2 linked regions of the Callithrix jacchus genome follow. The protein of the gene in region 1 interacts with the protein of each later gene in a pairwise test. Links are inferred from orthologs where the notes say so. Each region holds a gene or a part of one and is shown on either strand. Other genes may lie near its edges. The genes, in order: DAB1 and MBNL1.

What was found.
Region 2: the proteins of DAB1 (region 1) and MBNL1 interact in binary tests that used the Homo sapiens proteins (3 or more experiments, as listed by UniProt). The link is inferred for Callithrix jacchus from reciprocal best matches to the Homo sapiens genes DAB1 and MBNL1.

Annotation. Positions count from the first base shown.
Region 1 is NC_133508.1:94,158,738-94,162,563, reverse strand, and holds part of DAB1 (disabled homolog 1), read left to right. Parts: intron 1-1,544; coding exon 1,545-1,676; intron 1,677-2,309; coding exon 2,310-2,429; intron 2,430-2,893; coding exon 2,894-2,932; intron 2,933-3,826. UniProt on the Homo sapiens protein: Signaling adapter of the reelin-mediated signaling pathway, which regulates the migration and differentiation of postmitotic neurons during brain development.
Region 2 is NC_133518.1:32,892,394-32,896,219, forward strand, and holds part of MBNL1 (muscleblind-like protein 1), read right to left. Parts: intron 1,295-3,826; coding exon 1,037-1,294; intron 1-1,036. UniProt on the Homo sapiens protein: Mediates pre-mRNA alternative splicing regulation. Acts either as activator or repressor of splicing on specific pre-mRNA targets. Inhibits cardiac troponin-T (TNNT2) pre-mRNA exon inclusion but induces insulin receptor (IR) pre-mRNA exon inclusion in muscle.

The sequences.
Region 1 (3,826 bases):
AGGATCACTTGAGCTTGGGAGGTAAAGGTTACAGTGAGCACAGAGTGCATCATTGCACTCCAGCTTCGGTGACAGAGTGAGACCCTGTCTCAAAAAAAAAAAAAAAAAGTTTCAAACAAACTTGGCATTTTTATTTGCATGCACATAGAAATGTGTAGACTTATTAGGAATAATTACAGTTTTCTGTTTAGTTTTTTGAGATTTTAAAAATTGCATGGGGCCTCTTTTTATTACCTTTAATGAACCCTATAGATCCAGGACTTTGAGTTATGAGCCGTTGATCTGGTTTACACCTCCCATTTACTGGAGGGTTAAACTTGAGGTACAGAGGGGTACAGTGGGTGACTCGTGTTTACACAGAAGCTAAAATTCAAGCCTCATGATGCCCCGTATAAGGACTTTAAACATACCATAAGCACCCAGGTGTATATATAAGCCTTTACAAGGTACTGTTGAATGAGGATTGTTTTAAGTAGGTTTAATATAGGAAAATAACCATAAAGATCACCATTACCCAATAGGATGGTGAGCATTATTTGTTGAAGCTCAGATAATGAAGGTCAATTATAAAAGATTTTCAAATTACTAATTATCAATTTCAGTTTACTTTAGTTCAACAACTATGGGCCAGGCATAGTGTAAGGTGCTAGGATGGCAGGGATAAGGAAGACAGAACTGGGTGAGAAAGACAGACAAGGAATTATGCAAATATATCAGAGAAGGAAGACCTGTGAGGGTAAGGAAATCCAGGGACAAACATTGGAGGAATTTATCAGTTCAGTGTTACTGGAAAGTAAAGTTCTACAGAAGCACAAAAGAGGGTGGAATTATTTCTGTCAGGAGAGAGAAGGCAAGCCTCATTCAGAGGAAATTTGACACAGGTGGTTCTATTTCACGTGTCCATTGAAAGAGAAATAGGATTTGGGCAAGTGAATAAAATGAGTTGATACTGCAGACAAAGGGACCTACCAATGAAAAGCCTGAGAGATATGCATAGCCCCACCTCTACCCCCAGTGGTGACTCTGGACTAAACAGAAAAAAGCGTTTATTCCTCAACACACTCTATCACCATCTGCTGGATGGTGTTGTCACCAGGCACATCCATAGTTCTATGAATGTTAACGATACTCCCTGGAGTTGTACAGTGTACATCCTCCACCACAGCACACAGAGTCCCTGAGTATTTCAGTATATTAAATGTTAATCCAAAAGTTGGACTGGGGTATGCCATGAAAGAAGAGCCAACAGAAGCCTAGCCACTGGACTAAACTGACTAGCTCTAGCAAGCTGATAAAGCACCGAAGCAGATGCTTATTCAGCATATGAACAATCCTGTGTTTCTCTCTGGTCACAGCATTAAGACCATAGAGGGAAGCCTCCATTTCTCAAGGGCAGGCATAGCTCTTTTTCTTTCCATCTGGACTAAACAGCTTTTCCAAAGCCCTTTGGGCCTGTTCACACATAGCTGAAACACATTTCTTACTGATCAACAGCTCGAAGGGAAAGTCCCCTGAAATATGTTCTTCTTTTTTTTCTCTGATAGGCCCTTCAGCATCATCATGCTGTTCATGAAATATCCTACATTGCCAAGGACATTACAGATCACCGGGCCTTTGGATATGTTTGTGGGAAGGAAGGGAATCATAGATTTGTGGCCATAAAAACAGCCCAGGCGGTGAGTATCCCTATCCAAGAAAGGAGCCTTTCCTTGGAACTCTGGGGGGCAGTCCAGTGACTCCGTCGGTCTTTTAGAGGCCACTCTGAGATATGACCAAGCAATGTATTTCCACTGAAGTTGACGCTCACATTCCCATCTAGAAAAGATAAACAGGCTTGGAGCAAGGAAACATGCTCATACCCATCCAGTTTTGTTTTTTTTTTTTCCTAATGGGTATTTCCTAATGACTAATTATTTTCCTTTCTGATTAAACTGGATGGAGACACCATATACAAATAAGTTTCCTTGTGCTCATAACCTCATTTAAGAAAAAAATAGGAGAAAACAAATAGTTGTTTTGCATAAGGTCTGCCCTAATTTTGCTGTATTCTAAATCACTAATAAATAAAAGCAATGCCTTTTATGCTTATGATTATTATGAATTTGCAAATATAATTAGTTGAAGAAATGAACTTTAGCCTAGATGCAATTTGCTAAGCCAATATAAACAAGGTAGAATTAATTAAGAATGGAATGCTTTCAGATTAACAGAAAAAGGAAAGGCTGCAAGTTGTCACTGCAAAAACAAAAATTGGTTGCTGCCTTTCAGTACCATTCCCTTATGATGTGCCTTACCACCTTTCACTCCAGGCTGAACCTGTTATTCTGGACTTGAGAGATCTCTTTCAACTCATTTACGAATTGAAGCAAAGAGAAGAATTAGAAAAAAAGGCACAAAAGGATAAGCAGTGTGAACAAGCTGTGTACCAGGTATACCTGAGAATTTATCCTTGTGCTGGAGAAGATGGGGGCTTCAAATAAACACATGTGAAAACCGACAGTCGCGCCTTCTCTTCCTGCTGCCAAGTAGGAATAAACAAAGATGAAAGATTCCTGTGTAAATTACAGGACCCAAAGCAAACCATTAGAAATTATCCCTTGTTCTCTTAAACTCTAGGCATATTGGATGAAGTGAAATCTTGAATCCAGAGAAAGATTTCAGGGGTAGAGGACAAAGAAACACAATTGCTTTTGCTGTTGTTAACAGTTGGGGTGGAGGTGGGGTTAGCTCTGAGGGTTTTGACTTTGCTGTATTTTTTTTCTACCTTGATGAGCCACCAGCCTCTTCTGCCCAGAGCTGGTTTCTTTACTGTCCTGTAATTTCTGAATGCAATCTCACATCTGTTTCTTTATGTCATCTGCTTTTCACCCTCCCTCTCCTTGATCTGCAATAGACAATCTTGGAAGAGGATGTTGAAGATCCTGTGTACCAGGTAATTTCTGAAACTAGTTGGGGTTTTAGATTCTAGAATGACTAGACCTGTGAAGAATCCACTGACTGCAAAACCTGGAGAGAGACCAAGATTATTTCTGAGGGTGAGGGCTGCCAGCCCCTCCAGGAGCAAATTTCCATAAAAACTAACAGAAGTTTGGCCGGCATCGGTATCTTGGGATTTGAAGATCCGCTTCTCCCTTCTTGCCCCTGCCTCAGCCCGCTTCACAGCCTGTAAAAGTTTGATCCCAGAGCTGAATGTTTTCAAGAGTCTCTTGAATATTCGGAGTTCATTAGAGAGAATGTGAATAATGAGGTGGCTTCTCTGAGTTAAGAACCAGAGGTGGGGACTGACATTTTGGTAATGTTTGGGCACAGACCTAAAGGATGGTTTCTAAGCGTTAGAAAGGCTATGAGGAGGGCTCTCTGACCCGCGATGGGGCAAGCTGACCCTCTGATTAACTGGCTCATGCCATAGAAGCTGTTGGGAGGAAGGAAAGAGTGCCCTAGAGACACTTCTGCCCATAGATTTCTCTCTGGACTCTTTTCAAGATCTGTAGCTCGGTGCTGAGAAGAGAGATGATCTCTCTTAGGGTCAAGTATGCGCCCTGTTCAAACAGAAATGCAGAAAAAAAAAGTAAAAGACAGCCTCTCCCTCCCCTGTGCTTATTTTCAAGGAGAAAAAGAAGCCAAAAAAAGTGACTTTTTGAACACAAAGGAAAATCTTGAACTTACATTTCTAACTGGGATGCATAGATGTCATGTGTGTGTGTATGTCACATATGCATATTATACAAATTATATTTTCACACAAAAAGTCGGTACTGCTACAATGGAAGTAAAATAATATAGATAACTTGTAGAAGAAAACGTGTCTAGTATATATGGCAAACAG
Region 2 (3,826 bases), on another chromosome or scaffold:
AAAAAAACAAATCATCGGAATGCCATATACAACGAATAACAAGACTAAGCATGCACAATAAAGGCACTACTGAGTTGTTATTGGGAGGATAAACTCCTCTTTGTAGTTAATTACGAACAAGATACTCTAACAGAAAAAAAGAGTGAAAGGAAGAGAGGAGGAGAGAGTCTGCCTTCTGTATTTTTGCTCAAGTATCCATAAACAAACACAGAAAAGATCTCTCTCGTGACTATTTCACTGTGTTATGAAATACTACACAGTGACCTTTAAAATGAATATTTCATTGATTTGTCATATATTTAGATTTAAAAATGACTACATTAAAACAGCTAAGCAAAGAACAAAGAATGGGCTCATTAAAATCAGCTATTAGATCACATTAAAATTTACCTTGAAAATATAGTTTAGTAGCTATTCTTAATGATCTAATTTTTAACTCCTCGAGTGCTACTGTCTCTCTCCTTTCTATAGAATGGCATAGTCAAGCTTCTCTAATTTACTATTATGTTTATGCCACAATATTATTTCAGACAATCTAGATAGTGTACTGTTCAAAATCCTGTAGCTAATTTTAAGAACAATTTTGTTGAAACAATTCTCCTAAATAGTTCCAGATCATGTTATTGTTAAAAGCAAGATATATGTAAAGAAGAGCCTTGATGTGCAAAAGAACACACCAAAGGAAAACAATGGCTGATTAGATGGCACACAGAAATAAGAAGACCGAAAATGGCAGTATCGTTAAATTGAAAAGGAGACAGGTGGTTCTTTACAAAGCAGAGATTTCAGAAACCCTACATCCAGAATAAGACAGAGTAAGAGTTAGGCCAAGAGTAGGAGCAATCTAAACCATTTGAGGAGTTACCCTCACTTCTGTGAAAGTAACTTCTTTATATGTTGTCTGGGATACCTGAACAAACATATCTTCAGCAATTTTTTTTCAAAAGCTTAATAAATGAATAGTTTGTAGTCAGATATAGTTGCTCACTTTGCTTTTCTGACTGCTATCAAGGAGAGAGCTGATGTTTCTACTCACCATGGCAGCTGCGGTGGCTGCAGCCTGTGCAGCTGCAGCCTGGTTGACCTGGTATTGGGCAGCCTTGATCTTGGCTTGCAAATGTGCAGGGGGATGAAAATATTTGCACTTTTCCCGAGAGCATCTCCCTTTGATGTAATCCATACACACAGTGACTGTGTTGTCATTGGTGTCAATCATTGTGCTGTCAGCAGGATGAGCAAACCGACAATCATTTTCTCCTCTGTTGCAATTGCCACGCTGGTACTCTCGACATACCTATGAGATCATTAAGTACATGAGGTTTAGTCAACATGAACAACTAGAAGCTTTCTGAAGACTTTAAGTGCAAGCCAAGTGATAGAAGGCTGTAGATGAAAGGGGAAAAATGATTTTCAAACAATGCAACAATGTAACTTCAGCCTTTCCTAGATTAGTTACAAATTATAATTCCATTTCAGTATAAATGTCCATAAGAAAGAAAATGCATTTATAACATTAATTATGGTAAAAATATAATCTGAAATGGTGTTGATATACTTATTAATTGCAAAGGGAAAAACAGTAACTTTAAAGTAAAGAAACATGACCGATATCACTTTAACCAAGTGACCAAAATTAACATCACCAGTGATACATAATGACATTGTGTACCTACTGATATGATACAATGAGAAGGACACACAATCAAAGTAGTGGTATTACTACCTGAATTTAATCAAGAGGAAACATCAGATGAAGTGAATGGAAAGATACTTTACATAATAACCGAGTAGTACTCTTCCAAAGTCTCAAGGTCATGCAAGACAGATTGAGATATTTTCACAAACTGGAGGAGCTTGGAGTCAGAGAAAGAATATTGGGAGGACAACTGGTAAAATTTGATTAAAGTCTGTAGATTACCTAACAGCAGTATATCAATGCTATTTTTTCTGGTCTTATGAGATTCCACAGTTATATATGATATTAATGTTTAGCTCAGTGAAGGGTTGACAGAAACTCTTGGCTCCATTTCTGCAACTTTTGGGTAAATATAAAATTATTTCCAAGTGAAAAATACAAAAAAATCAAATTTGATAGCTTTTTATGAAAATGTTTGAAGGAGTTATTTTTTGATCTTTAGAGATTCACTTGGTAGCTATATAAACCAGTAAAAATATTTTGGTTTTGTTATTGTCTGTTTGTTTTGTATTTGCTAATTCTGTTGATTTTGCCATGGAGATCTTAAGGAAAAAGAAAAAATTGATTATTTCTCATTCATCTGCGCAATTTTGACTCTTACTATTTTGGCCGAGGCGGGTGGATCACGAGGGCAAGAGATCGAGACCATCCTGGTCAACATGGTGAAACCCCGTCTCTACTAAAAATACAAAAAATTAGCTGGGCATGGTGGCGCGTGCCTGTAATCCCAGCTACTCAGGAGGCTGAGGCAGGAGAATTGCCTGAACCCAGGAGGCGGAGGTTGCGGTGAGCCGAGACTGCGCCATTGCACTCCAGCCTGGGTAACAAGAGCGAAACTCCGTCTCAAAAAAAAGAAAAAAAAAAAAAAAAAGCTGTCTCTATTCATGATAGTTTGACCGTTTTACCACAAGAGGGCCATCTAAAACACAGAATGTCCTTCTAATACTTCTCATGCTCTTCAAGCTTCAAGGAAACAGTTTTTAATTGTTGAAGTATCTTTCACAAGTAGTAAAAGAAGATACTAAGCACTTTATTTTGAAGTTAAGCAAGAAAGAGAAACTGTAACTGCTATGAGTTAGGAAGCAAAGGTTTTCTTGAATTTGTAGAAATAAAACGATTGCATTTAAATCTGGGTATTTTCCCCCCATTATATTCATAAACTATTACGAGGAAAGTGCTTCTTAAAGGAGATAGTATAATTTGTACCACACTACATTTTTAAAAAGAACATTATAAATGATATCTTGCACTACTTGGAAATCTCAAGCTAGCTAAAGTTTTGTGTTCCAAATACATATAATGAGCCAATGTCATTCATCACCACACACAGACTTATTACAAATACAAAAATGACTTAAAAATTTATTCATCATTCTGTTTTTTTGTAGTGTATTTATCTTATTGAACAGAAGAAAAAAAGTATAAAACTATAACCAAGATTTATAACTTATAAAGCAAAAATGATCAAGCTGTTACCCAGAATAATCATCCTCCTCTCCAGCTGAACATTAGAATAAGCTATGGAGCTTACAAAACAGTACCTAGTACCTAATCAAAACTTATTGTATGTGAGGCTCATCACTATACTCAGGAAGAGTGATGTGCCTACATTAAATAATGATAAAAAGGTGTGTGTGTGCGCACGCGTGAACATGCGTATACACACCAAACATAGACTACTGCATAAACAACAGGGCTACTTTTCTATTTAAGCAAATCTACGTCAGTGTAGGAATCACCAAACAGGAAACTTGCAGAAGGTCTATAACTGATCTCTTCCGGCTGCTGTTCACTCCTCAGTAATTCCTGCTTTCTTGAATATGCTCAAAATGTATCAGGAACTAACATTCCATTTTTCCAATTTAGTGTACTCTTTGCCACATTAACAAGAAAAAAGACCTGAAGTTAGTCTACTTTTAGGTTCTGTGTGTATTTGTGTGTGTATGGCAGGTGGGGGGGGGGTAGTTCTATAGGTTAGGAATTGGTTTATTATAACTTTACATTCTTTACTCTCCTGTGGGATGCATTTAGAAAGAATTCTAAAAAATACTTAGGCAGAGTTAATTACTAAGAATTAGCTTAGAATGTGTCCTAAAACCAACCTTTTCTGAGGGTAGAAGAACTTAATCA